4 linked regions of the Drosophila melanogaster genome follow. The protein of the gene in region 4 purifies or fractionates together with the protein of the main gene of each other region. This does not show direct contact. Each region holds a gene or a part of one and is shown on either strand. Other genes may lie near its edges.

Region 1 (7,531 bases), on a different chromosome or scaffold from region 4:
GAAATTTAAACAATTAGCATTCAGAGTGCTAAGATACAAGAGCTTATTGTGTATACGCAGAAGGCTCGTCGAAGGAGCGACCAAAAGAAACCCATCCAGGGTACCGAGTTCCAGGGATTATTGTGTGCACGCAGCGGTCTGCAGAAGCACCCATAGAAACATACCCTATTCAGCGTTCCATCGAGCGGACGAATCGCGAAAACCCGTTAAAATGATGAACGAGGCGGCACTTGCCAATATGATACCCTACGACACCATCGGATTGTATGAACAGCCAAAGCCGCGCTTCATCTTCAAGATGCCTCGTGTGGTCCCGGACCAGAAGTCCAAGTTCGAGAGCGACGAACTTTTCCGGAGGCTCAGTCGGGAGAGCGAGGTTCGGTACACGGGCTATCGGGAACGAAGCATCGAGGAGCGGCAGGTGCGCTTCATGAACGGATGTCGCGAAGGACACACGGAGGCCAGCTTCGTGGCATCGGGCACCAATCTGCAGCTGGTGTTCAACGCCAACCAGAACCCGTACCTGCACGACAAGGAGTGCGACTTTGACAAGGAGCACGGCAAGGTGCACATCAAGTCCTACTTTATCATGAACGGGGTTTGTGTCCGGTTCCGTGGATGGATAGACCTGGAACGACTGGACGGAGTTGGCTGTCTGGAGTATGACGAGCGGCGCGCCATGCACGAGGACGCCATTCTGCGGGATCAGATCGATCGCTACAACCAGCGACTGCGTGAGTTCGAGGACACTAAGCGCGCCTACCGTGACAATCGACAGGACGAGATGGAGGCAGTGCGACGGGGCGTGGCCTCCGGAGGCATTGGCGTTGGCGCCAGCATGTGGCGTCGTTAGTTGGACCTGTGGACGGCTCCTGGGCCGTCCCATCCGCAGCTGCCTCCCCAGCAGCAGCAGACGCATCACCAGCAGTTAGAGACTCAATTCGCGAATACTCAATATTTCATGGACAACTGAGAATGCTCCGAACCCCTTAAGAGGGCTTTCACTTGAGAGATTTCAATACGATTACGTTAGACACGCTCGAATAATTATGCTCCTAGATTAGTGTTAGATGTAATGCTTACTTTACGTATGCTTTTATGGTATTATACTTACAACTTAGTGTGAAATTAGTGTCGTATCTTTAACTAAAATACATAATTACTAATCTATATGGCATTGTTCATTTTGGAATTTCCACCTTTAAGCAGAGTGACTAAGACTCTTCACTGGGAATTGCCTACCGAGGCTAGGTATCGATCAAGAAAACAAGTCGTTTGGTTTGATTTTATAGCATTATAATATACAGATACTGAACTTTATACATAATAAGCAAGGATCGTGTAAAACTAAACTATGGGGTCTCGCTCGGCGTGTTGGAAACATTTATATTAAAAGCGACAAGCTAGTCCGTCCTAGCGGAATTGCAGGTTTGAAATGCGCAGGCCAATGCTATCCTTGCCGATCTGGCTCACTTCGCAAACTGTGCAGAGATTGCCCTTGAACTGAGGGTCGAAAGAGGAGGAGCAGAAGGGACAGGTCACTTCGGGTTTACCCCTATACAGTGGCTTCCAGCTGATGCCGCAGATTGTGAACGGATTAAACTCCTCGTACTGCAGCTGATGCTCGTCCACGGGATTTACCTCGCAGGCCTGCAGGATCTTGCGCACCTGCTGGGCAACGTCCGGTCGTGGCGCCAGTTCCAGGAGACGACGGGCAAATGAGGCGGCCGTCTTGTAGTTCTTCAGCTTGAAGAACATATTGAGGGCGGTACGCAGGGTGAGGATTTGGTGCACGGGCTGAAGCTTGCAGTGCGTGAAGTAGGCGGCCATCTCGCACAGACGCTTTTGCTCCTCAAGCGTCGACTTGGGCATGCCCTTGCGCACAGTCTCCATCTTCAGGCCAACGATATACTCAGCGCAGATCCTTAAGAGTTGCTGGGCCTCCGCCGCATCTAGCTTCGTGTCCACTACCAGCAGTGGGATGCTAATCAAGATGGAATGGAACTTCTCTACTGCCTCGGAGAACTTTCCAGAAGTTGTCAGTTGGTACCCAGCTTGCAGGCGTGCCACCAAATCATTCAGTTTAATGCCAACCGCAGGACGCTGCAGCTTGATGTTTGTCTCGGAGTAGTTGCGAAGTGGGTAACCACTTAGGGATTGCAGATTCGGATTGGCCGTGTAGCTCGTTCGAGAGCAGGCGTAGTTCTGCAGGAAGAGTGTCTTGAATGGCTGGAAATTGACCACTCCCAGCTGATCGTGCAGTAAACGGAAGGCGGTTTCGAATGATCCGGCCTTGACATGGTCCAGGACCAGAGGCGAGTTGTTGGCCCATTGTTGGGCAGGAGACAAGCCTTTGTTGGGAGCCGCATAGTAGTTGCTGTCGAGGGCTGAGGCCTTGATCTTGGAGGCCAGTTCCTCGGGCACAACCAGGTCATCATCGCCCACATCCCAGCCGGCACCCTCCTCTCCACCCGCACCACCATCGCCATCGTTGCTCAGCGCGTCGTGCATCTCGTCATCTCCGTCTTCATCTAGTCCCAAGTCGGCATCCGCTCCCCAACCATCTCCACCACCATTATGCTCGTCCAACAGTGCAGCATCGGCGTTGATGTTCAGCGCCTGTCGGGCAGTGGCACTGGAGCCAGCCCTGGTGACCATGGCGCCTTCAAAGAAGCCCTTGGACACGGACAGCAACGGCCAATTGGTTTCAAGCTGCTGGATGGGCACTGGTGGCTGCAACAACTGGGCATTGGGATTCACCTCGGGAAGGCTGTTACCCTGCGAGGTTATCGATTCGCCCAGGGACTCAGTGAGCTCATCGAATCCATGAGTAGCGGCTGTGAGATAAGCTAACGAAAGTTGTCCGCAGTTTTTGAGGATGTTTACCCGCTCCTTGACGTCACCGAGAAGGAGGGCACCCTGGTACTGGGCGGAAACATCCTTGCGAATCTCGGCAATCTTGTTCATCTTCTTGAGCTTCTCCAAGTTGCCGGTGATCAGGTAGAGGAAGCTAAGCTTGTCAAAGTTCTTGGTCCGCTGGTAGCACATCTCTACCACCTGGTGGTTTCCTTGGAGCAGCGCACTCTGTCCCAGGCGATCCCAGCAATCCTTGTCATCGAGAGCCTTGGCTGCTTCGAGAGCAATTTCGATGTTACCGCACTCCAGAGCGAGTCCAAATCGGGTTTTCTCATCCTTGACAAAATGCAGTGCCACCTCTGGATAACCCTTTTGCTGCAGGTAAGCAATGATGCTCTGACCCACTAGGCGGGCATTTCTCACCATATGCAGTACTTCATCGTACTTGCGTTGAATCAGGGCAAGCTTAAACTTGTACTCCGTAGGATCGATGTGGAGCACACGGGTGCGGCACTCCCGGTCCAAGCAGAACACTTGGTTGCCCTTGACGCGTGTCAGATAAATGGGTAGGTCCAGCGTACGGATGATGCCGTGGTCCCCGTTTGTAATGGCGTACTTAATGTGGTTGCTAGTGGTGTAGATAAACACTCCAGACTCGTCCCAGGCGCCAGACTTCACGCGGCAGTTCTCCTGCACGGTGCACAAGTACTGAAGTCTTCGGTCGCAGATTGTAACCGAGTGCTTGCAGAGTAGAGCGACCAAGGACATGTCCGGAGACCACACCACGTAGCGGCACTTGGCCAGTTTAATGCTTCCAACGGAGACTAGGCGCTGAACTTCGTACAGTGTGACAAACTCAGGGTCCCGAATGAGCAGCATTCCCGTACCGGCATAGAAGATCTCCTCGCAGAAAGTTGGCAACTTCTTGGTCACCTCATTCTTGAAGTTCTTGATCACCAACTGCTGGTTGCGATCAAGCACTGCAAACCGATTGCGTGCCACCCAGATGGCCGTGATTCCAGAGCTTCGCTTGCTGTCCGACTCACTTTGGCTCTCGGTGTCCTTGGGGATTTGGCAAAGATCGTAGGTGCTGTTCTCCAGGTTGTTGGTGCGCGTGCAGATTAGCACGGCGTTCAGTGCTGGGTTGTACGACATGCTGTACACCGGCGACTTGCCTGGTCGAAGCTGCATAACCACAGTGTCCTTAGTGGTGGTAAAGTCCAGTTTGCGAAGGAAACGTTCCTTGACGTAGTAGAGAATATTCCCGTGGACAGCATATGCAGGACGCTCTCGCTCCAGTTTAAAGACCACCATACCTGAAAGAATATGTATCATTACAAAAAATTCCTATTCCTAAAAGAAATCAACTAACCTCCATCGTGGCCAGCTGCAAACAGATTCAGGGTCGGATGCGCTGTAAGTATCCAGAAGCGCTCGTTGTCCCGCCGGAATGTAAAGAGGCACTGGCGCTTGGTCATGTCCCAGACGCGAATACTGCGATCTTCGCCGTTGGAGAGAATCAGGTCTTGCCTGGGATGGAACAACACGCTGGACACGTTGTTGTAGTGACCGCGACAGGTGTCGACCTCCCAAGCCTTGTACTCGTTCATGCGCCACAACTTCACAAGGCGATCATCGGCACCGGAGACAATCAGCGGCAGGGTGGGATGGAAACTGGCCCAGTTGACGCCACGGTCGTGGCCCTCGAGCACGTGCTTGACCACGGCATCTGCTTGGCCAAACAGATCAGTGGCACCCGGATGACCCTTTAGGTGGTCATCAAGCCCACCGGGCCCGGGAGCCACGTTCTTCTTACGCAGCCCCGAAATGTCCCACACGCGCACCGTCTGATCGAGTGAAGCAGAAACGATCTGATCCTCCGTGGGATGGAACTGGGCGCACATCACATAGTGGTTGTGGCCCGTCAGCACGCAGATGCAGTTGCGCGACTGCCAGTTCCAGATGCGTATGGTCTGATCGTCGGAGGCGCTCAGAATCCATGGGTATTCGTGGTGGAAAGCCACCGTGCGCACATAGTCCAAATGGGCCAGGAGGGTAAAAATGCATCGGCGTTGCTTGTAGTTCCACACCTTGATCTTGTAGTCGTCGCCGCCAGAGACGAAGAGCGGCATCTGCTGGTGGAAGGCCACGCCTCGCACCGGTCCGTCGTGCTCGTCGAACTTCTCGAGGAGCGTGTGCATCCGGTAGTCCCACAGCTGGATGACGCCGCTGTGCAAGCTGACCAGGATCCAGGGGCGCTTAGGGTGGAAGGAGAGGCCCTTCACCCTCGCCGACTTCGACTCGAAGTTGGTCAGCATGGTGGCACTTTTTCTGTTCTGCCTGTAGGTGTCTCAAATTGGATGCACTTCTAGGTGTCGGCTTATCCGTCAAGCGCCCTTTTTTTGCTGGTTCGAGCACTTGCCTGTATCAAAACATCAAGAGGTGGGTGTTAGAACAAACCCATTTTATTGATACGCTACAAGTAACACGTAATATACTGCCAACAATTAATTTTATGAAAAACACCAACCAATCGTCGAAATTGTGACACGTCAATTATCTTCTTCTTCGCGACCCAGTCAGTGTTGCCAGCGTTGGCAGATGTGCATACACTGGGAACCATAAGTTTTCAAAAGTACACACATGAATATGAATGAATTATCATGCTCTCCAGTCTTCTTTATATAGTTAAATATACAGATTTTACGTGATATTTTTGAATATATTTAATCTTCGTCAATAATATTCGAAAATTGAGTTGGTAAATGTATTTCTACGAACACTTTTAGTGACCACTGTAATCGTAGTTTTACAGCACTGGACAAAGTGCATTCTATTCACGGTAACTTCGCTTTGTTTATTTTCTGTAATACCATGGAAAATATATAAATAAGTGACAAAGATGACACTGGCACACCGGGCGCTCTTCACTTGGTTTATCGTCCTGGTCTTCCTGATTCTTCTGTGTCTCCGCCTGGACCCACGCACCACCTGGAATTGGTTCGTCACCTTTACGCCACTCTGGTTCTTCGATGTGATCATTATCATCTACGTGATCATTAAATTTATCCGCAAGTGGCGGAACCTAACCTGCCTGACGGATCTCCTGTTCCTCTACAAATGGAACATTGCCGGCGTCCTGCTGACCATCGCCTCCCAAGTGATGATCTGCCTAACGCTGGAGTACCCGCAACAGATTCCCATATACGTGACCGTTGCCCCGGTCATCCTGCTGCTGAGCACCGCCATCTTCTATGTTGGCAGCAGGCTGGGAAAACGAGAGGGCTGGATACAGTAATATTAAGCATATATTGTAGGATTAGGTGTACATAAAGTGAAAACTCAAAAGCCGTATTTGCTTTGGGTGGCCCGACGGGTCTGCCGGTTGGCCGACCACATGGCCTGCAGCTCGGCTTCGTTGGCCTTCGCCTTGTGCGCCAGGTAGGTGATCTGGTGCTTGCGCCGAGTCCCTGCCACCGGCTCCTCGTCCGTCAGCACGCCGGTCGGTTGGAAGGTGGTGGACGAAGCCAGAGCCGATCGCATCCATTCCTCGCGATCAGGTAGCACCTGAGACCCAGATATGTCGATCACCTGCATCTCCTTGGCCTCCTTCCGCCGGCGCTTGGCATTTTTGCCCACCAATGCGTCCATGGCCTCTGCGTTTAACTGTTGCTCATGGTAGCGCTTTTGTGCAATCTGAGACTGCTCTTCCTGAAGTCGGGCGGCTTCTGCTTCGGCTGCTTCCTTCTCGGCTACCTCCTCTAGGTACTTGCTACTGGCTTCCACCATCTTGGCCGCTCGCTTGGCCACTAGAGCGCTAATCTCGTTGCTGCTCACCTCAGGCAGCTTTTGCTCGGAATTCAGGGAGAAAAAGTCTCCAGTGCCATCTTCGTCATCATCTTCACTATCGCTGGCATTTACCAGCGAAGTGGGTTTACTTATAGGTTTGGATTTTGTTGACTTCAAAGCGTCTTTTGTCTCAGGATTCTTCTTGTGCCCGGCCTTAGGGCCATCTACGCCTTCGGTGTTGTGTGCAGCTCGTCGCTGCTTAACTGTATCGGGAACAAAAGCTGGTGCTGCTCGAGGCTGCGCAGGATTATTGCTTAGACTGGAAGCAAGAGTAGTGCTGGCTGATGGGTAGGCTACCGCGGATGAAGAGTTCTTGGAGAAGTTGCGCTCCGACTTTGCTTGGGGCAGCAGACTCAACAATCCCGATCCCTTGGGTACATTGGGCTTATCAACTTTGTTCTTAGCCCTGTCAGCTTTCTCCTGGTCTACATCTGAGAAATCTCTTAGTGAAGGAATGCTGATTTTTACTTTTCCCTTGACTGGCGGCGGTGGAGGTTTCTCTATTTCTACGGGCAGCGCCTTTTTGTGCAGAAACTCATCGTCTTTCTCCTCTACAATGGCTTTTCCTTTCGCTGCTGTTCGTGGCATGGGCAGGTTGGCAAAGGCGGAAGTAACCTGGTTGTCCACATCCTCATTTTCCAGATCCTTAGCGGGAGCAGTGACTTTTGGTTTGGGTAAGGCTAATAGCAGTCTTCCGTTGGGCGGCTTTAACTCCTGAAGGGACACTTCCTGGGGAACGTAGTCGTCATCTTCATCACTAATGTGACCACTGGTTGATTCCCGAGCTAGATACGCTTCACTTGGTGTGCTCGGCTTGGCTTGGGGT
Region 2 (5,660 bases), on a different chromosome or scaffold from region 4:
TCGGCGGGACGGTTATGCTTGAGGGCGTCCAGCAGGAATGCAGTGCACTGCTGCACCATGGAGTGCTCCATGAAGATGTCCACAATCTGATTGATGTCCGCCAGTGGCTCTTCCTCGGCCACCAACATAGAGGCGAAACCAGCTCCTTGCTCCGGGTTGCTTCGCATCACGGAGCGCAGCAGGAACACGTAATCGGGCGTATAGTTGACCTTCTTGGCGTAGAGTACAATCTTCTGGAACTGCCCAGTCTCAGCAAAGCATTGGATAACCTTGTTGGGCACATTTGCGCGCAGATAGATGGACAGGGCAAGTGTAAGATCGGAGGCCTTGACCAGATCACCCAACTCCTCGCTGCATTCCAACTTCTCCTCCTTCAGCCACTTCTCGCACAGCTGCTTCTTGCCCTGCAGCAAGACGGGACGGCACAGCTCGAGAGACTCGAACTTGTTCAGCTTGCCCTGGTCGAGGAGAATGCCAAAGTATTGCAGCAGCGGCGGAGTCGTGGAGCCAGCTGGTGTCTGCACCTGTTGGAAACGCTGGATCGTCTGTGGCGTACGCAGAATGGCCTTGGGTGCCAGGGCAGCAACTTTAGCCGCTTCAGCATACTGGCCGGCTGTAAAGAGCTTGTTGAACTTTCGCACAAAGAGATCTTCGGCACCAGCCAAATTGTTGCGCACGGCCATGCGAAGGGCCAAATCGGGATTCTGCAGAACGGTGTTGATGTAGGGAATGATCTGCTCCTCGTCGACGGTCACGGAGAGGACCTGTCCCTTGCGATTGACGCCAATGATGCCACCACTTGCCTCATGCGGTGCGGTAACAAAGATCGTATCGGCCGATATACGATTCATGTATATGCACGTGGCCGTCTCCATGTCATACAGATGTATGTATCCATACTTGGTTATCAAGTAGATGGTGTCGTACTTGGCAGAGACTTGCATAGCCACAGGGAAATCATTTTGTGCTTCCGGCGGAAAGAAGACATCGACAGCCTTCTTGGCAAACGGCTGATTGCCGTTCGGCGGAGCACCAACTTCGATAATATGAAGCTTGCCCCCAGTGGCCGTACGAACTGCAAAGCAGAACAGCGTGGTCGGCTCCTTGTTGGCATCGATTTTAAACGTGGCAAAACTGGCCGCATGCCCCTCGATCGCCTGGGACACCTTACGCTCCACCGAATACAACTGCATGGCACCGGCAACGCGACTTGGCAGTGCCGAAATGCCGACCAAGAGTAGCCACTGCTGGGAGGCATTGCAGCGGTAGTTGATGATTTGACAACCGTTCAGCGATGAATGCCGGTCAAACATCTTTTGCGGCATCGAATCGCCCTCCATGGACCAATGGAACACACTCGTTTCTGTGACCAGAGCTAGCGTATTGAGGGAGATCCACTTCCAGAACACCACATCCTCGTTCATGGTATGCGCCTTCATCTTCGACTTCATCTCAATGTTGAAGATCTGCAACGTCTTTTGCGCTAAAAGAAATATTCTAAAGTTATACATGTTCAAAAATGCATTATCCCAGTCGACCGGAAAAAAACTTTGATCTCTTTCCTTACTATTTGATATTCAAGTTAAAGTTTAAGTGAGGTTTTAAGTTTTCTAGACACGTTGTAATAACAAGCGGACCTGTTTACTAAGCCTACGTTACTTTAAGCTAAAATCTGATCCTCTTCGGACATTCTGATCGACTGGACCATCGGTTTCAGTTACCTTTGAGCGCAATGACCTTGCTAGCTGGATTCATGATAGCCGAATCCGCTGAGATGGGACGCCGCGTGGGATTGGTGGCATCGTTCATGTCAATGATGACCACTTGGGCGGTATCATTCACCTTCTCCCGCACGCAAATAAACTTATCCGATTCCATCGTGAGCGTGCTGAATGAAAATGAATTGGCGTTGATCCCGACATTTGTGAGCTGTCCGTAGTGGAGATTGAAAATGTGTGTTAATTGATAAATCGAAAATCATAGCATACGCACTCATTACACAATATAATCATTCATTATTAATTATTGAACTGGCCTGGATTGACCCACATTTACTATTAAATATTCGCAATACTTTGCTTAAGTTTAGATGTAAATTTGTATTATAACTAGTTCTATAGAAAATACACTGTATACAGACTTGAATAGAAGGTATAGCAAAGTAGAAACTCGACCTAAGCCCCCATATTTTCTGTTTACACGTTGAATTAGAGCTGGAAACCGTGAAATTTTCATAAGAAAAGTGGGGAGCTTATGAATCGGATATAATCGTAGGTAATCGTGGCATATTGGTGGGTTGTACGTATGTGGATATGTAATGATGGTAGATCCAAAATATTTAATATTACTCACCTGTAAATGCTCCTGAAAGCGGATGGGCAGTGGTTGCGTCATCTTTACTACTACAGTGAGGTCTAGTTATTGACAGACCTTTACAACGTAAATGTATCTTTGCGAAAACAATGCCAATACGATGTTTTCTTGAATTGCACACTTGGTAACAGTTTGTATTTGATTTGTTTCGAGGATTTATTGTTGTTTAATTGCGTTCGAGTTTAGTCGGTTTCTGGTTTAAGATTCGGTTTCCATTGGAACGTTTAGCTGCACGAAAGACAAAAGATTTTGGAAAAACATGTAGTTATGGACAGCACTGATGCGGCAAGAATGAGGAAAAATCAAATTGTGGGCGTTATTTTATTGTTGATAGAAAGTGACAGCGTCACCGGATGAAAAAATGAAAGATAAAGGCCTATATGTATGTACATATGGATGTAAACGCCCTTAAAATAAAACACCGAGTCTCTTATTGTATCCCCAATCGCTTTTGTGCAAGAAAATATATAGACGAAATTATTTCCTACGATTAATCCTTTGTATCGGTATTTTTATTCGTTTTCTTGCGTTTTTGCACTTGCCGTTACGACGGGAAAATTACCAGCACTTTATTTTATTTGAGGTGAGCGAGGGAGAGAGAGAGAGAGTGAGAGCGAATCAAGAGAGAGAATTTGAAAAGAAAAGAGGCAGCATTATCATCAAAAATCGCTGCTCACCACAGAAAAAGTCAGCCATGTTGAGTTGCGCTTTGAACAATTAGTCACTGACTAATACATGTACAGCAATTTTGCTCTTGTTTTCCCTCCCCCTGTGTGTGCATGAAAATCGAAAATCGCATTTAAATATCACTGTTTTGCGCCTGATAACAATGGGACAATGCCATGAAATTGACGAAATTCGGTGTATATACATCAAATTGAGTAGCGGTAATTCCCAATTCACACGCACACAGCAGCACTCGCGCACACACACTCACAGATGAGCGCGCACACTTGCAGTGCCGCAATATGCCACATAAACAAGAACATAATTAGATAAACGGTAAATTAATCGGATGCTTTTACATCAAATAAACAAAATTTGTATGTATATATTGCATTTGCAAGCGAACACACACACGCACTTTAGCACTTTACATTTTTTCCCAATGAATCGAAAGATATTTGGAGCCCGTATGCTTACTGCAATTTAACAAAAATGTACGCTAAGTACTATCATACTCGAAATAATCACGTCGGTTTGTTGCTAGATGACGGGCACACACACTGAAGACAAACTGAGCTCTTATCAAGCTCTAACAAATGTAGTTTATTTTTCTTTTGTTTGACTAAATACTGACTGCAAGACAAGGTAGAGGTGTGAAAGTTATACAATTAATGCCGATATATACGGCAAATATGCAATTGCGTGGAGTGAAAAAACATCGATACCACATTCAACATTCGAATCGATATTTGTATCGCACGATCCTACTGTTACACGTATTTATTCATAATATTCGAATGTAATTATTATTTAGGTAAATGTAGTATAACTTTGTAAGGAACAACAAATTTATTTTATTTTATCAGCTTCATTTATATTTTGCCGATAACAAGTTTTTAGATCATAATACATACGTAAGGTTAACAGGTGTTATCGAGTGATCCAATTGGATATATTCTCTAATTGGAAATCTATTTTTTATAGCAATTTAATTTGGAATGTGAAGTTATTATACCCGTTACTCGTAGAGTAACAGAACACACCCCAGAAAAAATTATTAAATTTCACGTTTGCACTCACACTATCTGCGTAACGGGTATCTGATAGTCGGAGAACGGGACTAAAGCATTCTCTTTCGTTAATTTTTAAAAATATATATACATTAATTATCTTGCTTAAGTGCTGGATAATAAGTAGGCGATAATTTTAACATTGTTCCTATGCAATACTATTTTTAAGTAGGCGATGATTTTAACTTTGTTCTTTTTCAATACTATTTTTGACATTTACACTCAATGTGCTACAGAAACAACAACTTTAGGATTTGCTCCAAACATTTTTTTTATTGTTTTTATCATTTGGAAAACCGAGTCCCAACAATAAAATCTTAATCTATGAGGTAAGCAGCAGTATCCGATTTTGAAGCACCTTTTGGCGATAGAATCTATACCGTCTTGACTTGACTGATCAAGGGCATGACAAAGGATGGGGCAAGGAGCTAGACGAATATTGCGGGCGTCCCGCTCGCAGATTTGCGGTAGTCTTCGAACGGGCGAAGGGTCCAGCACCTCAGCAAGTTGTCGAAAAGGTACACATAATCATTTTTGTCCTGCAGGCACAAAAATTTGGAAATTCTTTTATTAAAAGCAAAAGCGATGTCACTCTCTACCATGAGCAATCCCTTGAGGACTTCTGAAAGTTTTTCATTATTGCAGTGGTAAAAAACCCAGCTGGATTGTCCGAATTTGACCAGTGCTCGATGCTTTGGCCGTTCGCAGTCTGCCGCATTCCTGCTAGGCGTCCCACCCGCCCAGGATTCCTCAACCCAGGGCCATTGGGAGAGGATCCGTCGCTAACAGAATAAGGTAAACTGATAAACTCCTCGTTTCCCAGGGAAATTCTTTTATTAATATAAGTTTCTTCTACAGTATATACAGACGTTCTTACGACTCGGTTTTGGGATCTAGGAAGCCCAGGATAAATGGCAGAATGCTGCGGACTCTGAGCTTTGTCAATCATATTCATTTTGATAACATAAAGATACCACTAAATTCTGTTTTTATTTTTCTTCGTTTTCATGTTTACCTAGATTATTTTAATATATATTTACATTGAAACGTTGTTGTCATTCAAATAATATACCCTTCTCTGTGGGAGCCAATAATAATGCAAGTTCCAATTTTTTATACCCGTTACTCGTAAGGGTAAGATTCGTTGAAACTGGCAGAAGGAAGCGTTTCCGACCATATAATCTATATATATATATATATTCTTGATCAGGAGAAATAGCCGAGTCGATCTGGTCATGTCCGTCTGTCCGTATGAACGTCGAGAACTATAAAAGCTAGAAGGTTGAGAGTCCCAAGTTGAGATCCATGTTGCCACGCCCACTCTAACGCCATAATACAGCCCCGCCAAGATTATCGCCGTGAGGTAACGATGTAATCGAAGGATTACAGCGGCCGCGACATGGGCGCGAACTTTGTGGTGCCGGCGATGGCAGGGCGACAGGATCACACGATTCCGCCGGACAGCTGCGGGGATACCTTGGTCGGAATGCGTGGATTCGTTACGATTTCCAGGACATTTGGTAGCATCCACACAATGGGGTTTTGTCCCAT
Region 3 (8,878 bases), 130 kb from region 4:
ATCGTTAGCATTTGTGTTATAACTCGAAATCTCTCCTTATATCTTCAACTTTCTAAACTAAGACTACAAAACTGCCCTCGCTTCTGTCATTCTAAGTTTTTCAAATTATTAAACCTAATTTAGCTAGTTGGATATTCGAATCCTTGTTATCCCTGTACGTTAAATAGCATAAACACTCCTGATTGAAGCCATTTAGTTGCCTTGTAGTAAGTTAGCGTATACTCTCTATAATTTATCTTGAACTAACTCAATTCGAAGTCGACTAATCTAACAACAAATCAAGACGCGTGCGAAAATCCATGCGGTCATACAATATAATTATTCTTATAAATGGAAAACCAAGTAGCGGAAAGATACAAACAAAAATATATATACAACAATTATACAATACGAAACCAAATGGAAATTGTAACCAAAACTGTAAGTTAAGTATGTATTTATTTCGAGAGACATCTTAATCAGTTATAATTTCAAATAAAAAAATGGGAATTAGAAAAGTTAATAAACTAAAATCTGCCTTATGTTTTCATGGGAGTCTTGGGAAGTGGTGATGCAACATATTTTCCAATGTCTTTCCGCCGCAAAGGAACTTCTCTGCTAAAAAAAAGTTAAATTACCTTTTTTATAAAGCCATGAGCTAATATTTTGAAAACCCATAATACAAAAGCGATTGTGAGCTCATTGTCGATTCAAATCGAATGACCATATATGTATATACGCAGTCATATATATATATATATAAGTATATACGATGTTTTCATTTATTATAATTTATAAATTTTAAATTTAAATACATACAGACAACATAAAAATTACGAATTGGAAAGAAATATGCATCGGATCTTTGATGTTTGTGGAACGATTTAAACAAGTTGTTTACGGTATTGTGTTGTTCGATTTGTTTTATTTATTTATTTTAATTCACTTTACTTCCTCTCCGCTTAATTGCATACTAGATGTAAGTTTAATTTTTATGGATTACGATAGTATCTCCGTTCTCGTTTACGTTTAAAGATAGTAGCATTAAATCTTCGATTGTTGCTAGAATGTGGAAAATAGTTCAACGCAAGGCGAAATTGAAAAATAAAAAAATCTAAAAGTATGCATAATTGGTTTTCTTTTTTTTTTTGTGGTTTTCGTTTTCCTTCATTTTCATATGTGTATATATAATTTATATAAATTGCAACTATCACACGTGTCCGCCGCGACCCGGAGTCGAATCATCCGCGTCCGTATCCGGATCTGGAGTCCGAGCTCCGGAGCCGTAGAGACACACACATTGCCACAAACCGAGGCGAGCGAGGATCTTCAGCCGCTGGCCTGAACATTTGCTCCTTGTGGTGTTTGTTTGTTTTGTTTGTTTTATTTGGAACGCTGCTGAGAACAACTGCAACTGGAATCTGCCCCTTACTTAATGCTCAGAATCTTACACGACATGTAATCTTTACAAATATTCTTTGCTCGCTTAGTTGGTTTCGGGGTTTCTCTCTTTTTTTTATACAATACGATTTCAAACTTTCTACGACACGATGAAATCTCCAAAAACCCTGCGCTTTCTTCTCATGTTTAGTTTTCATTATTAATTTGCGTTGTTATTTGAAATGGTTTATGTTGGAATTATACTGATATTTTAGCTCAATTGCGTGAGTGTCAGTTTGCTTGTATATTTTTTGGACAGATATCGAGCGTAATGGGGGAAATCGGGTGTGGGAATTTGTAACTAACTTTCTTTAATTGCAACTTTCGTTTATGTTGGGAATGGGAGCTCCTTTGTTTAATGCTTATAATTCTTATGTGGTCTTTATCATTATTGGTTTCGTGGCTCTCAAATGAAATTCGTCCCCTGCGAGAGCCGGCTTTAGGTATTTCTTTCTGATTCTGTTGAATTTTTAAATAATTTTTTTATTTATAATTATCAGCATAAACTTTTCAAATCTCTCGTTGGAAATTTCATTTTCTGTAAAGCCAAAAAAAAACTGTGTTAGTAATGCAACCGTATTTCCAACGCAATTAACTTACCTACGAAGGGACATCACTTGCAGCAGTTGTTCGTCGGTCGATTTGTTTCGGTTCCAGTCGGCCTTATGCTGGTTCCCTGATTGTTGGCGCCATCGTTCTTAGGTAGTTTCTTGGCTGTGGTTGGGGTAGTGATTAGCAAAGTTTTCGAAGCGTTTACGACGGCTCCTTATAGCTTACCAATGGCCAAGAAGATGTCGTTCACATTCATGCCCGTCTTGGCGGAGGTTTCCATGAACAGCAGCCCGTTCTCCTCGGCATATTGCTTCGCTTCATCGAACTCTACGACGCGAATGTTTGACAAATCTGCCTTGTTGCCGGCCAGCGCAATGACAATGTTTGGTGAGGCCTGGAAAAAAGTTTTATTAATACATATTTTATGTAATATAATTTACGTATCAAGTGAACGAATTTCTCGAGTTAAGAATATTGAACTGAGGCACTTCATGAGCAATAATATAAATGATTATAATATTAAAACACTCTGCACGATATTCAAGTTTCCCCGCTGACACTCACTTGTTTATGCAGTTCCTTGACCCAGGTCTTCGCACGCTGAAAACTGTCCTGATTCTGTATATCATAGACGACAATAGCGGCCTGCGCTCCTCGATAATACATGGGAGCTAAGCTGTGGTACCTACAAAAGCGAATATAAGTATGTCAGATGAAGCTTTCAGTTGGGTGATCTATCCAGCGATACTTACCGCTCCTGGCCAGCCGTGTCCCAGATCTCGAACTTAACGACAGTGTCCTCTATGCAAATAGTCTGTGTCAGAAAGGCCGCACCTATCGTGCTCTCCTGGTACTCGTGGAACTGTCCCTTGACGAAGCGCAGCACCAGTGAGGACTTGCCCACAGCGGACTCGCCGAGGAGCACCAACTTGAATTGGCAGCTTTTGTTCTGCGAGGTGCCATTGGGCCGCTGCGCCGTTCCAGTGCCGCTGGCACCGCCGCTGCGTGGAGTGGTTGCCATGATCGGTTCGGGTTGGATCGGATGCGAATGTGGATGCGCTCTTCCTCCTCTGAGATGGCAACTGATATTTGGTTCTACGGACGGTTACTGCAACTCACTCCCTCTTCTGCTGAGTAAGTCTTTCTGCTAAGATTGCTGCTGAGTGTGGATGCGGAATCTGCAAAATACAAATAATGTACATATTTATAATGGAGACGGATAAAAACGAAATTGAGTGCTTCCAATTCTTCTGCCATAATGGTACGTTTTTAGGGCTTAAACTCAGTCCCCTTGAAAACATGCTGCCCATGTGGATGAATATAAAACCCACATAAAACCATCAGATGATTGTGTGGCGCCTTTGTTTGTTTAATGACGCCGTCGACAAGCCCAGTTCAATATGTACATATCCGAGAATATGCACAAAAAGCCGACGTTTTCCATCAGTAAATGAAACAGAGGAAAAGGGAAGCGTCTGCCAATGGTCACTGATAAATTCAATTGAAATTGAAAGCAGTACGCCCTACAAAAACTCACATTAGAGCTTATATTAGTTTATTTATATTTATATTTATAAGTGTTACACATCCGAAAACATATCATTACTATTTGTGTCACTTGGCAACATAATAGTACTGATAAGCTTGTGATAGGAAAATCAGTGAAAGCAATTGTTCCACGATTAGATGTTCAATGTTATGAGTTGTGTTTAGAAAATTCCTTGCGTGACTGCTTCAAACATCCACAAACACAAACATTCTTAATTACATGTGCAAATACAAATCCATCAACAACTAAAAATACTTTGGCAAACACAAAGGGGAAACCTTATATGCGCTTTCTAGGCGCAATTATTGTTTTTCCCTTTCTTCGTGGCAGATAAGGGGTTTACAAGTAATCGAAACTACAACATTCTTATCGGTCCCTTGTGCGGGAAATCTAAGTTATCGTAAAAGATATTTATTGCAGCTCCTCTAGGGGCTACCGCGCAATTGATAATTCACACACTTTCTGGTGGAAAATATTTCGAGGGCGGGTGAATTTGTGTACATATGTGTATAATAGTACATAACACAGAGGACGCCTCGCATTATTCAGCGGTAATGCGTGTGGCATTCACAGTATTTTTGTTATCAGTGCCACTTTTATGAATCATACGCCCCATTGGCCACTACACTTTTACCGATGTCCCACAGATACGTTGATCCCGAAACAAGATATCGTTTTAAACAGAGAGTAATCATTAAAATTGTTTAAAAATATTTACTGTTGCATATATTAACTAAGCTAAAGTCGTTTTCAAATCTTCACAAAGTATCGTTCACATGCTTTTCGTTTTTATGACCGACGACGGGAATCTCAGAATTCCGACAGAAATTAATTAACACATTGAAGCCAGACTGTACAGTGGAGATAAATCTACGAAGATCGGGGTATGGAATTCTACACGAGTCTTGTTTACTTTGTGGAGAGAAGTGAGCGCAGAGCGAAGAGAATTCACAGAGTGAGGGCGGAAGCTGTGATAAAAATCAATGCAAAATAAATTAACGGGGAGACGTGGAGAAAGTAAAAGCGTGACAAACATGTACGCTGTGCGGCGTTATTAAATTAACAAGGAATGAGGGAGAGAGCGAAATATGCAGGCCCTCTCTTTGCCATTAAAAATGCAGTCAGTCAACAATTGTTTGTTTCTCCCCCTCCCTTCCGATCATTCAATTGTTTTTTTCCCGGAGACTTTGGAGCCAAGTGCACAGTCACACACACATACAGAAGCCGACAACTTGGTCTCTCTTTTCGAAAACCGCACTCTCATTGCGATAAAGAAATTTCGCCTACAATTACTTTTCATTATCCAGCGAATGACGTATTTTGCTGTTTTTTGCGTCTAAGCCAAAACGAAAACTGCACTTTAAATTTAATTAAAACAAGCAGTGTGTCTCACTAAGCCAATGCAAAATTTTCCTTGAGAAGCGGACAGCTGTCAGTAAATAACTCACCGCTAATTTTAATTCGAACCGTAATTAATGCGGTTTATTAAACTTTAAAGTCACTTGGACAACAGGAGTGACTTTCGCGCCCGTCTGCGGAAAATTCAATAAAATATAAAACAACGTTCAGGAAATTACGGTTCTTTTAGAACAGCTGACGATGCGTCATTCACGCGACTAATACAAATGCAAGTGAATCAAAAAAGAGAATGAGAGCGAGAACAACAACCATACGTAGCCACAGCCTTTATCAATCAAATAGCTGTAATACGTGGAATTAAGTTACAAATCTTATGTTAGATTTTAAAGATATTTAATATAAATATGAAATAAAGAAGAACGTCCACATAGCTTGTGCTTAATTTTAAGCATGAATTAAGTTTTAAATCCACCTTTGGAAACTTAAAACATTTTCATTATATCAACATGGCCCTATTCACGTGAGCTTGACTGTGGAATTGCCTCACTCGAAAAGTCAACAAGTGCAATTTTCTCAGCACGCATATTTGAAGCACGTCTAGAAAACGGAGAATACAATTAGCGTTATATTTACTGTCACACCACACATCACTCCGTAAATATGTATAGCTTGACAAATGCGGGTCTTCCATTTGCAAAGCGAGCGAAAAGGTCTAGAATAAACAAATAGAAGGATGCGTTTTTGTTTACATTTGGGCTTTATAGAAACATCAGAGACAAAGACAGTTCTTTGAGAAACTTGCACGATAAGGGAACGGATTGCCGATAAATACACACACACCACACACCCACACTCTCTCTCATAACTAAAGACGCAAAACAGGCGGAACAAAGAACCGCGATTTTTGATCCGTTTTGGCGTGTAAAGCGCTGATAAATTGGGTGATAATGCGGGCCAAGATCCGATTTTGCCAGCTTTACTCCATACCAGAGTGCACCTGCAGTGTTCTTTATCTCTTCACAATTAGATTCGTGAACTATCTTAGGCCTTGCGACCCACTGTGCACGCTGCACTTGGAGCAGGTCGTACGGCCGTCTCGCTCTAGCGCCCACTCTCATGGGCAACGCACCCAAAATTCAGGGCCATCTATCGCGCTCGCTCTTACACTCGCACTATGGCGGACGGGGCGAAAAAATTTTACACAACTTTCTTAATTAATTACGAGGGGTGAGCGAAAACAACAACGCAAAAGCACTCGACTTTCCGCCGAATTACGCACTCTTCTAAACGCGGCACTTGGAGACCAGTTGACCATTTGCATTTACGTTTTTTCCTTTCAATTGTGTGCCCCAAAACAGCCCCAAGAAACGAAACGAAACGAGCGCAGAGGGAGATAGATAGCGACTGACTCGCCTCTCGCAAAATTATCGTCGCGTCGCAGGTCGTGTTTTTGTCGATTAACTTCCTGGGCGACGTCACCATTGATTTGCCAAAGATTTTTGTCTTTTTTAGCTTCCTTGCCTTGCTAATGGCTAGCGAAATTATCGCCTGGTTTATTAGTAAACTTAACTTACAACTTTCTTGGAATTTTATGTGTGACCGCAGGACGACTGTTGGAATATGCCAAACATATCCTAAGCTCTGCTCGTTAGCAGAGGCTCCAACCAACGATACATATTTCTATCGATTAGTGGGACCAACATATTACACAATATAAATAAAATTTTAATATAAACATTTCTTACCGTGAATATACAAAACATATTTCTTTGCTGCACGAGTCAACTAATGAATCGTAAAACGGGTATATTTTACATAATAATTGTCTTACTATGAATTTATGTAATCAATGAGCTTGCAGGAACCGGCTCCATTGGTGAATTTGTTTTAATTTTTCTTCTGAATTATTTCTTAGCAAATACACGCACCATCTACTAGTGAGTCACATTTATCTATCACGCTCTATCGTATACACTTTTATCAATTTTTGCCTGGTATTTTTAAGTACATTTGGATCGGTGCAGGACTGTTGTCATGTTGCAGGGGTCCAGCGACGGGCACACTGAATAGAAGAAGTAATAACATTGCGAGAAAAGAAGAAGTGAAAAATTAAGAAAAAGTTTACGGAAGTGCGAAATGAGTTTTAAAAAATAAATCATAATTTTGGGCGTTGCCAGGCGCATAGTAAAGTGATTGTGTTAATAAAAGAATACCGACCTTTGTGTCCTGATTCGCCTCCTTCACGCACACACTCGCACAGACTTGCACAAACACACGCACACAGTTGCGTCTTTCGTCATCTCTCTCGCTCTCAGTTTTTTATCGCAGCTGCAACGCAAATTGCAAAAAGGATAAATCCCACCGATCTTGCGAGTCCGGCCGTTGGCTTGGCTGCGAAAATATAAGCGCAAAGGTGGGCCCCCAAAAAAAGAAGCTAATCAATATTGATTTTGGTTAGCGGTATGTCTACTTTTCGGGTGGTCTCCTTTCTAGCGTGCGAAATTCTCGGGGATCCAGGATTTCAAAGGATTCTGCACACGCACACCCATCCAAGCACAGTGCTCATTCGAAAAAGCGAACATACAAGTGAGCGGAACATTAAAGCGAAAGATATATATTTTTAAACCATTACACGTACACAGAAAACAATTGATTTCTTGCGAGCAGTAAAATTAATACTTGAGCTAAATTAATATTTCTAAATATTTACACAAGTTGTAAAAGGTACACTCATTAGGCTTTTGGCAATTTGTTTGTTGGATCTAGGACCTGGTCAGGGGCTCTTACGAAACGTAAACAGGTGTAATTAATTTACTCAGAAATAAAGTTTCGCATTCCCGGCAGTTCTCCCTCTCGAATGGACACTGTACATACACACCTGATCTATACGTTTTCGCTACCTGCGAAGGAAATTTCCAAGCAACATTATGTAAAACCATTTCCTCCTACTTTCTTGCAGATGACCAAAGGACACTCAATGATCTAGGGACCTCGACACGGATAGCATGTTTAGTCCTATAAAAAAAATATTTACGTACATACAAAAAAATGCGAGCGGCTCCAATATGTTTAGCCCATCAGGAAACAAGGCCGCCGGCCAAAGGGAGGGGACCACCAGCCTAACTGCCCACGACGAAGGCGAAAGGAAGGATCAGCGGCATCTGGATCACAAGGATAATCAGAGCGAACCGGAGGAGCGGCAGCATCAGCTGCAAATATTTCCCCACCTGGACGATGACGACGACGACATCGAGAGGCAGATCAAAACCTCCATAATTGACGCCAGCAAGGTGCACGCAGCGAAAGCCAAGGCGTTGGCTTCCCTACCCATGCCGCTTGAGCAGCTCGATGATGAACTGGCGGACTTTGCTCACGGCCCGGCGGACACCGAACTAGAGGAGCAGTTCCTTGAGCTGGAGAACTATCCTAATAATGAGATAATCGTACTAGGCGATGCGGATCTTAACTCTTCAATAGCTTCCGACGCAGTCTCCGAGGACCCACTGGCAATTGACAACATTCTTGACTCCGCGTCGGTCACCACAAACGAGGAGGTCGACACCAGTGGAGAACTTCTTTGGCTGAAGTTGAACAATGAGACGGAAATGGCCACCAGATCAGCGGAGGTGGTGTCCAACAACCAAGCATCATTGGAGCCTGCCCAGCCAGCCAAACCGAAAGAGGATGAGCTTAGAGATGGTGGGTCTGATTCTGGTTTAGGAAGTGAAACCTCCGCGTTACTCAAGGATCAGGCGGAGAAAGAAGCCGAGCCGGAAATCCAGAAAAAGGTGGAAACGAAGCCCATAAGGTCCAACCTTAAACGGAGACTCGAAGATTCGGAAAGCGATGCTATAGATCTGGTGCCCGACATGTCTGCCCCTCCAGTAGCCCCCCAGAAGCGGACTAAGCGCTCCATCAACTTTGACGAGGTGAAGGTGTTCTACTTCCCACGACAACAGGGCTTCAGTTGTGTACCAACGGCGGGCGGATGCACCTTGG
Region 4 (8,264 bases):
TAGGATCAGAAGCAGAAACTGGCGCTGAAAGCTGTTGGAACTTCAATTATATTTACATCAAAATACATATACATATATATTAATTAATGGCTATCATTTCGAGCGTATCAATTCTTCCATTAATTTTATTAAAGTTTTCATATTTTGCTTTGTTTTACTTTATATATATATATTTGTATGTATTTTTTTTGATCGGCTGCGCTAGAAACGAAACATTTGTTAAACGAGGCAACTGCTTATCTGCAAAATTAGAAAAAAATTATTCTCTTATAAAATTCCATGAATATGTTTAATTGTAATTACAAATTACTTGCAAATTTTCCACAGTTGAAAACTGCTAGTTGATTTAACGGATAGTATAAGAGCACTTCTTTGTTCACATCCTTTTTGGCCTAATGTATTTTTGCAATAATTTGTGCGCTGCGCCCTGCTTTTTATCATACTTTATGTCATTGAAAGATTATTATATTATAACCTAAATGTTTCGTGTGAGAATTACTCGACTTATATGGTATATTGCCCCTTCAACTATCGAAAGAAATGCAAACACTGCAAAACAAAAACACATTTATTGAGAATGAAAAACGGAATAAAAACTGTATTAAAAAGCGAATCAAAAATTGGGCTATGCTTTCAAGTAGATAAGTTAAATCGGATTGGTCGTCACACCGGAAAGAATCCTATTTCTCCTCCGACGATTGTCCACTTTTGCTTTCCCCCTTTTATTAAAACTCATCACCCATTTTTCATTAAATGTTTTATATTTTTCCTCTGATTTATGGAGGGGTACAACCGAAATTGCAATAAACTTTCAATTTTGCGTCAGTTATATATTTTATATTTGTATTTTATTAGGCCTTTAAATATCTAAGAATTAGTATTATTTGACGTGCACAGTTTACATTTACATAATTTTTCTTTTCTTGCTGTCCACTTCTTGTCGTTCTTTATTTTTCTTTTAGCAGTTAGAAAAGGTTTTTCAACTTCAATGTTCCCGAAATTCAATAACAATTTAAATTAAAACATTGCCTAGATTGAATGTCGCTCCGTGTCAAATTGTCTGCATGTCTGTCTGTTCATGTGGGTGGGTGCATACTTAAGGTCGAACGTACTAAGGTAAAATTGCGGAGCTCGAGAAACGTTTTGAACTGATTTTCTACGCGCAATCGAATACATGGAAAGGGCTCGAAAATACTTGACAATCAAAAATAGAATTGAAAAGTTTTGATAAAATATATATAGGATATTTGACAATAGACAATCGCACGCAGCTTGCCCAGACTTTATCAAAGTTTTCTTGTTGGCGCTTACAATTAGTGCTAGATATATAATTACAAAAACAATGCTGCAGCTTTAAATTTTCCATCATACATTTTGATTTGCATTGCCAGAGAAATCATCAACTAAACTCTATGTGTCGTGGAACACAACTTACTGATTATGATTGCAAAACATTGGCATGTATTATTATGCTCAACAGAACAGGAAAAAATTAAAGGACAATGGAGCGTTTGATTGGTATTATTGAAGTGTTGATAAACATATGTATATTTAAATAGGAATTATGGCTGCTTTATAGTCTCGCTTAAAAAATATATATTACTGAAACAGATATTTGGGGTGGTTGCCATTTAAGAAAATCCTATCGCCCGATTCGGTTCCACTCACAGCAAAGTTTCTAAAACAAAAGCAGCAAAATGTATTCCAGATGTGGGTCTGTATTTCTGTGTTGGGGTGTGTGTTGTGTGTGTGTGTGTGCTATTGAGAGGAGCGTAGAGGATCAGAGGATCGTCTATTTCGTGAACGCCATGAACACCGCCCACAGAATTTCGTTCGCATTCGGCTTGGCCGACTCGGCTTCGAAGTCGAGATCCAGCAGCTCCCGCACCCGCTTCATGGCCACCTCATAGTCGTCATCATTCAGCGGCGCGAAGGCGTTCTCGATCACATCGCTGGCGTGCGCCAGGAAGATAAGCGCCAGCATCCGCTTGTCCATGCGCTGTGGATCGTTGACCCACTTGGAGAGCACAGAATCTTGGATCTGAAGTCATACATTTCGGATTCAGTTTTAGAATTCTTGAATATATCCAAGTCTAGTTACGCACCTTCTTCACCAGGCGACATTTGACAACATTGTCGCTCAGCGGATGTGTCGTCATATCGAAGAGTAGAAAATTTTGCTTTTCCGTCGTGAGCACACCCTTCTCCACCAGATTTTTGGCCAGACGTTCGCGTACATTTTTCAGTTGGTAGCGCAATTTCAACGGATTCCAGGTTTCACCTGCCACAACAATAGGTTATACAAAACATACTTGGCGAAATGGCAGGCGCCTAAATACACACCACTAAGATATTCAATCCAGCTCTGCACCGTCTCCGGGGGATCTGTTTCCTTAATGTGTTTAAGTGCCTCATCGAGTAGAACGTCTCCCGTCTGCTGATCCGATTTCAGTATTAATTTCCTGTTGGCGAATTGAAGTTAGCATGCTTCTGAAAGGATGTGGAAACTAGATTTCTATACATACCTTGTACATAGACCACGTCGCCGCATTCCAGATTTCTCGATCATCACGCGACCTCGCAGTCCAAGCTCTATGAGAATGCATCCGCGCAAGCCGCTTGATATGCAGTCGTTCCAGAAAGATGTGTAGCCCTGAAAGTAATTAAAAATGCTATTAGATTCAAGCTATTTGATTGGCCTGGATGGGCATCTAAAAATAAGAATGTGTGAATGCGTTACTTGTTTATTTTTTAAAATTTTATTAAATTCTATCTAACATAAATGTAAGTACAAACTTCATTAACAAATGGTTACTGTCTCATGTTTCAAGGTTTTGAAATATATTTGAGCAAGTCTATGGTTTGGCCTTTTCACTTGTGTTGGGCGTAAAAGAAATGAATAATTACCCTGTTGCCGGGGTCGTAAAGCTCCCAGACGAAAGTATTCAGTTGTTAAAACATTAAACACTTGAGTTTGTTTAGGCCTTGCCCACAGAAGTGTATGAACTGTCAATTTAAAAAATACAATGCTTATCTAGCTAGTATAAATGAAAAAACGAACAAGAAGAGTTATGTTATAACCACATAAAAAATCAATTACAAAAATTACTCTTGTTATTAACGCTTGAAAAGCTATGATAATTGGAAGGTATAGATAGATACCTCAACCACGTTTCAATGCCATTTCACGATTTTAAAATAATTTATATAACAATCGCTCAGATGATTGATAAGGAATCGTTCCGAACGAAAGGTATAAAAGTGAATCATTTGCAAAGAACACGTCGCTTATCAGTTCGGCAGTTCGAGATATTGAAATTTTCCTAATGGATGGTGTGGGTAGAAGCCAAGTACTTTGTATAATTTCGAAAATGAGTGACGTACTGACATAAGAAAAGCCCGAAACGGATGAGAGCTAGGCAGAGGAGAGCAGCACTTGATAGTATGTACTTCCTCAAACAATTAACCAAATGGACAAAATCTTCGCGATAAGAGCGCTCGGAAGGGGAATGTAAAACAAAAGCGGGCAACACGTCCCACTGTTTCCAGCTCGTATCCCTCTTATGCGAAGGGAGAGGAGGTGGCAGGGATGGAGGTGTGGGTGGTCACACAAATACACTGCGGGCAAAATGATGAAAACAAATAGACGTGGTGCCAGCCACAAAGGCACATGTGTGCATTCCTATGTGGTACAAGCGAACAGCAATTGAGCGATAAAGCTGTGTGCCAAGTGAAATATAAAAACCGAATTCAATGGAGAAATGCGAATCTGCCTGTTCGCCATAATGGGTCACGTATGGATGATGGTTCGCATTTACGGACATCATCCCGCGCTATACGTAGATTTATGAATATTACAAACCTATGCAAATTAACCACTTATTGGAAAACTCGTTTGACGAAACCGTTCTCCGTGCTGCGCGGAGTGAAGTTCTCGAAGAGATATGTATGTATTTATAGCCACAACTGCCAACCGAAGAAGTATTAGAGCGCTATCTTTCCAACAACTAAGAACGTTGGCAACAATTCTAAGAATCTTTTTGATTTGGCACTGGAAGCAATTGCGCGATAGTGTAACACATAAAATAAACCTATTATATACTATATATAAATATATCATCACTTATTTGGGAAGTACATCAAAGTATTACAAAGGGCAAGTAATGGGTTCTATAGATTAGAATGAACGGCTGATTAGACCTTAACAGATGGAGCACACTATTAATTAATGCAAAAACAAAAGTGGTTAAGAAAATGGTGTTGGCAGTCTCACTGATTGCGCATTAGTCAGCAGGCTGGTCAAAAGATTTCATAGTGCATTGCTTAACAAACTGGAAAAGCTAAGAGAAGTGGCTAAGACATGGCATAAAATGTTTATCTGTAGGACAGATAAACATTGTTGCCCCCATAACTGAAGTGATAAGTTACCCCCCTGTATCCAATTTTCACTACGCCCCTGCTGGAAGATGGACTGCGTTGCACTTGGGGCCAAGCAAGAGGTTGCGAAAGAGAGAAATCGTGAGAGCGACAGAGAGAGAGAGACGTCGGTTAACAGGTGAAGAAGAAGCACTTATGTTGCGAAAGAAACCAATTAATTAGTGCATCCCAAGCAGATAAGAGATAAGGAGCACACCCACCTCCTTGTCCTTGAGTCCCAGCAGCAGAACCTCCTCCATGAGCGTTAGTCGTGTTTCCTTGGAGTCGCCATCGTCGATATTGTCCTCCTGGTCCTTTAGGTTGTCCAGTGCATCCTGGTTGTCGTCCGGCGTGTTGGCATTCAACCCACCCTCCGCCCCACCGTTTTCGCGGGGTTTCACCGAGCGACGCACCAATCCGTCGGAGCGATTCATTCCGGAGAGTTGGGTTGGGTAGTCGGGAAGTTCGGATCGATGGAGTTTTGGAGATGTGGGATGCGAGCGGAGCACCTATGTTTTTCTGCTGCTGCTCTTCTTCCTCTTTCCTCGTTTTGTGTGTGTGGCACAATTTGCTGACTCGACGTTGGGAGTTTCACAGTGTGTGTGTGTGTCTGTTTGCGCGAGTGCGGGTGTTTGCGTTTTTCTCTGTGTACTTGTGTCTTGTGTTTTTGTGTGTTGTTGTTTTCACTGACTCTTTTGCGCCCCCTTTATTTTGTATTCTTTTGCACACACGCACTTTTCACACTATCGCAAAAATGCAGGCCCTAAACTGCGTTTCGTTGTTGCTGCTTTGCTCGGCGTTTTTGCGCTGGGAACTCGACGGTTTGATTTACAATTTGGTGGCCCGTACTAATGGTGCATTTGCATTGGCCTTGCATTTACTGGGAATATGCGAGTGCCTGCGCGAAATAAGCTTTTTCCTATTATTTGTGTCTTTTGTCGACGTTCCGACGTGACATGATTTCCGCACTTTTCAGTACTGGCAATTTTCCAGACCTTAAGTGTTGGATAACGTTTTGCTTCTAGAGGTGCTGTTAAAACGAAATTAATTTAACTTTTACTCTTAATTTTTTGTAATTCAGCTTAATTTATTTAATCGTAAAGTTTTTGTTTGAATGATATTACAGTTCCTTGTCCATACTAAGGGTTTGGTAATGTTATGAATCCGAACCGATAGTTTGTCCGATAGTTGTAATCGCTGTATGACTCATCTCTAACGGAAACACAAAATAAAACCTACTACAATTTGTTGCATTTTGCCTAAATTCGTCACAAACACTGCCGTTAAAACGTTTATAATGTCCTACTTGACCAATTTCAACAGTGATACTGCCAAGCAAATTCTTATGGACATAATACGCTGTGTAAATCAGCCGGAAAACTCGAAGAAACTCTCAGAGGCAAAGGCTTCCGCTGGAAAAGAGATGATTCTCATGATGCAGCACGTAAATACCAAGCAAATCAAAACAAATAACCAAATAGTTTAACATAATACATTGCAGGTTTTTCCATTGGTGATGCAACTCCAACTGGAGGTCATTAAGGGTCATGGGTTTCCTGGAAACCGCGAGGGATTAGTCCAGTTCTCCCAGCTCATCAGAGAAATGGAAAGGGACGACATGGAAATCGTACGCCTGCGCAGTCAGATCCGCGCCATATACCTGCCCCCCATAGCTATAAACACCACCAACGACATCCTAATCTAAGCGTGGGGTAAATCCCCCAAACAAGACTGCAATTCTGCCCCCCGGTGGGTTTTTTAATATACTTTAAGCGACTTTTAATATTTGTAGCCCTTTTCATTTGAAGAAACTATATTCATTTTCAATTATGCCTTAACGTCATCTAGAAAATCTTATTTTCAAAGAATATTGAAATACTTCTCTAATACAGATTTCTGAAACAGGCCACCAAAATAGACTTAAGCTTGATATTCTTATAAAATGCATTTCTTTTGATAAGTTTGTGATCTTTTTTGTGTATTTTTTGTTGATGTACAAATGTTTTTCTTGTTCTTGCTAACAATAAGTAACATGGCAAAGGTTGCTATAAACAATTAAGGATCTGTGCCGTTCCATCGTCAGCTTTTAGGATCTAGGATATGTCGATCAGTCACGGCGATAAATTAAACAGTTTTCTTTCGTACCTATACAATAAGTTCCTTAAGAGCTATACTTTTATGTACACGTCAAGTAGTGAGCTGCTCGTCCAGCCTTCATCTTATAAACAATTAGGCGAGGATAATTAGTAACAATGTGAAATCCTAATGCGCGCTAGCACCATTTGTGGTGCTGGCATTATTGTTATTCCCGTTTTCGAGGTCTGTAGCCGTCAGTTTAGCCGGATTAATGTTTTTTATGTCGTTTCCGTTCAGTTTATGCTGCAAATGCTGCAGCTGCTGGGCGAGGTGCTCGTTCTCCGCCTGCGTAATGCTGTCAACATCAATGGACATCGACATAGGTGAGTGGGGCGTAAGCGGAGTCACTGGATTGCTGACGCACAACTCCTCAATGGTGGAGTCGCTGTTACTTGAGGGCGTCGAGGAGCGTGACCGCACTGGATACGAATCGTCCAGGGGCAGAGCAAAGCCCTGGGTGATCATCAGATCGGCAATATTTAGTTCAGAGTTGTCGGCTGGATCGAATAGTTCCACTCCGGGCAGCGGGGTTCCCTCCTTGGCAGCAGCACTTACAGCGGTGGTTGCCCGTGGACGCTCCTTGTAGGTCACCACTCGAGCAATCAGCTTTCTCCAATGTGCCACTACAAATGTTCGGTGTTTAGTCAAAAATATATCTAGCAACTGTTGCTGAAATCATACCCTCTGTCAGCTCTTCGAACTTTGCGATTGAAGACTTTGGCCACGTAATAGGCTCCGTCTGGATGGTAGATTTTACATTGGCCAAGAAGCATTCAACGGCTTGGAACCTAAAATAGTGAAATATAAATTTATGTCTATCCAATCAGTCGAACTGCTTACCTGAGCGTGAGGAAATCAGTGCGCAGCTCGCAGATATCAGCTGGCGAAATATATTCGCTATCTCCATAGTCCACGAAGTAGAGATCGATCACCTGCTCCTTTGGATTGTACTGGTTAGGCATAATGTCCACGATTTCTGCGCGATACCACTTCTCGTCGAACTTAAACACGGCTGCCACAATCTGACCCACATATGGAGCAGTCAGCACGTGCTTGGCCCTGTTTTCAGCACTACTATAATAGCTGGTCATCTCCTGGACCATGCTATCGAGCTTCTTGGACTGCGGTCCGATAAGCTGAACCCAGAATTTAGTGGGCGAGGCCACCGCGGAGACATAAACCTCCATTGGCTTACCCTCGCCCTTGGAGGCCATTAGCTTGTCTCTGGGCTGAGTGTGAGAGCTTAGGGATGTCTGGGAGGAGTACATGCTGGACGCAATGCTGTTGGTGGGAGATCTGCGGGGCTCCCGACGCTGTTCCACCTCCTCCATGGACCGCACGAGTTCCTCATCCTCCTCTATCTGATCATCCAGCATTTTTCGGGCTATGTTCACTTGCTTTTGATTGCCGATAATCGTAATCTTGGCCTTTCCATTCCGCCCATTTAAATCGATATTCAGCTTGGCTAGCGAACTGCTCCGGATCTCCTGGAGGAGCTCGCCGCCGCGTCCGTTAATTTTGCTGGCCAGCCTCTGGGGCACCTGCAGTTCCACTTTCACCACGGGCGCACGTTCAATTTCCTTGATAAGCAGAGCTCGAGCCGCCTTAACCGCATCGGGAACGCCGCTAATGTCGCAGAATTTGTGGCCACTGTCTTTGTCTCTGGAGGAGAAGAATTTGATTTTTGTTAGTCAGGTTTAATTCCTGGGTCG

Evidence for each region.
Region 1: the proteins of sau (region 4) and alphaCOP purify together in Drosophila melanogaster (affinity purification with western blotting; 2 studies listed by BioGRID, with this or other methods). This does not show direct contact.
Region 2: the proteins of sau (region 4) and Chc purify together in Drosophila melanogaster (affinity purification with western blotting; 2 studies listed by BioGRID, with this or other methods). This does not show direct contact.
Region 3: the proteins of sau (region 4) and Rab5 purify together in Drosophila melanogaster (affinity purification with western blotting; 2 studies listed by BioGRID, with this or other methods). This does not show direct contact.

What each region holds. Positions count from the first base shown.
Region 1 is NT_037436.4:1,639,784-1,647,314, forward strand, and holds alphaCOP (coat protein (coatomer) alpha), read right to left. Parts: upstream 5,417-7,531; 5' UTR 5,387-5,416; exon of another isoform or gene 5,279-5,386; 5' UTR 5,175-5,278; coding exon 4,229-5,174; intron 4,173-4,228; coding exon 1,414-4,172; 3' UTR 1,283-1,413; downstream 1-1,282. Other genes in the region: Bgb (Big brother), read left to right, coding at 212-853; CG13919 (uncharacterized protein), read left to right, coding at 5,759-6,154; CG17249 (uncharacterized protein), read right to left, coding at 6,199-7,531.
Region 2 is NC_004354.4:15,831,771-15,837,430, forward strand, and holds the start of Chc (clathrin heavy chain), read right to left. Parts: upstream 3,721-5,660; 5' UTR 3,517-3,720; exon of another isoform or gene 3,458-3,516; intron 3,143-3,457; exon of another isoform or gene 3,051-3,142; intron 2,985-3,050; exon of another isoform or gene 2,862-2,984; intron 2,602-2,861; 5' UTR 2,395-2,601; coding exon 2,353-2,394; intron 1,930-2,352; coding exon 1,722-1,929; intron 1,484-1,721; coding exon 1-1,483. UniProt on the Drosophila melanogaster protein: Clathrin is the major protein of the polyhedral coat of coated pits and vesicles.
Region 3 is NT_033779.5:2,358,437-2,367,314, forward strand, and holds Rab5 (Rab5), read right to left. Parts: upstream 6,838-8,878; 5' UTR 6,625-6,837; intron 6,519-6,624; exon of another isoform or gene 6,401-6,518; intron 6,286-6,400; exon of another isoform or gene 5,877-6,285; intron 5,069-5,876; exon of another isoform or gene 4,969-5,068; intron 4,346-4,968; exon of another isoform or gene 4,239-4,345; intron 3,420-4,238; exon of another isoform or gene 3,303-3,419; intron 3,150-3,302; 5' UTR 2,993-3,149; coding exon 2,724-2,992; intron 2,657-2,723; coding exon 2,536-2,656; intron 2,366-2,535; coding exon 2,197-2,365; intron 2,134-2,196; coding exon 2,033-2,133; 3' UTR 2,020-2,032; intron 1,958-2,019; 3' UTR 1,130-1,957; downstream 1-1,129. Other genes in the region: Axud1 (AXIN1 up-regulated 1), read left to right, coding at 7,885-8,878.
Region 4 is NT_033779.5:2,223,655-2,231,918, reverse strand, and holds sau (sauron), read right to left. Parts: upstream 5,578-8,264; 5' UTR 4,851-5,577; coding exon 4,638-4,850; exon of another isoform or gene 4,614-4,637; intron 4,556-4,613; exon of another isoform or gene 4,315-4,555; intron 2,654-4,314; coding exon 2,526-2,653; intron 2,463-2,525; coding exon 2,344-2,462; intron 2,282-2,343; coding exon 2,106-2,281; intron 2,042-2,105; coding exon 1,793-2,041; 3' UTR 820-1,792; downstream 1-819. Other genes in the region: CG15387 (uncharacterized protein), read left to right, coding at 5,714-5,860, 5,918-6,121; papi, read right to left, coding at 6,679-7,175, 7,234-7,340, 7,393-8,214. UniProt on the Drosophila melanogaster protein: Phosphatidylinositol-4-phosphate-binding protein that links Golgi membranes to the cytoskeleton and may participate in the tensile force required for vesicle budding from the Golgi.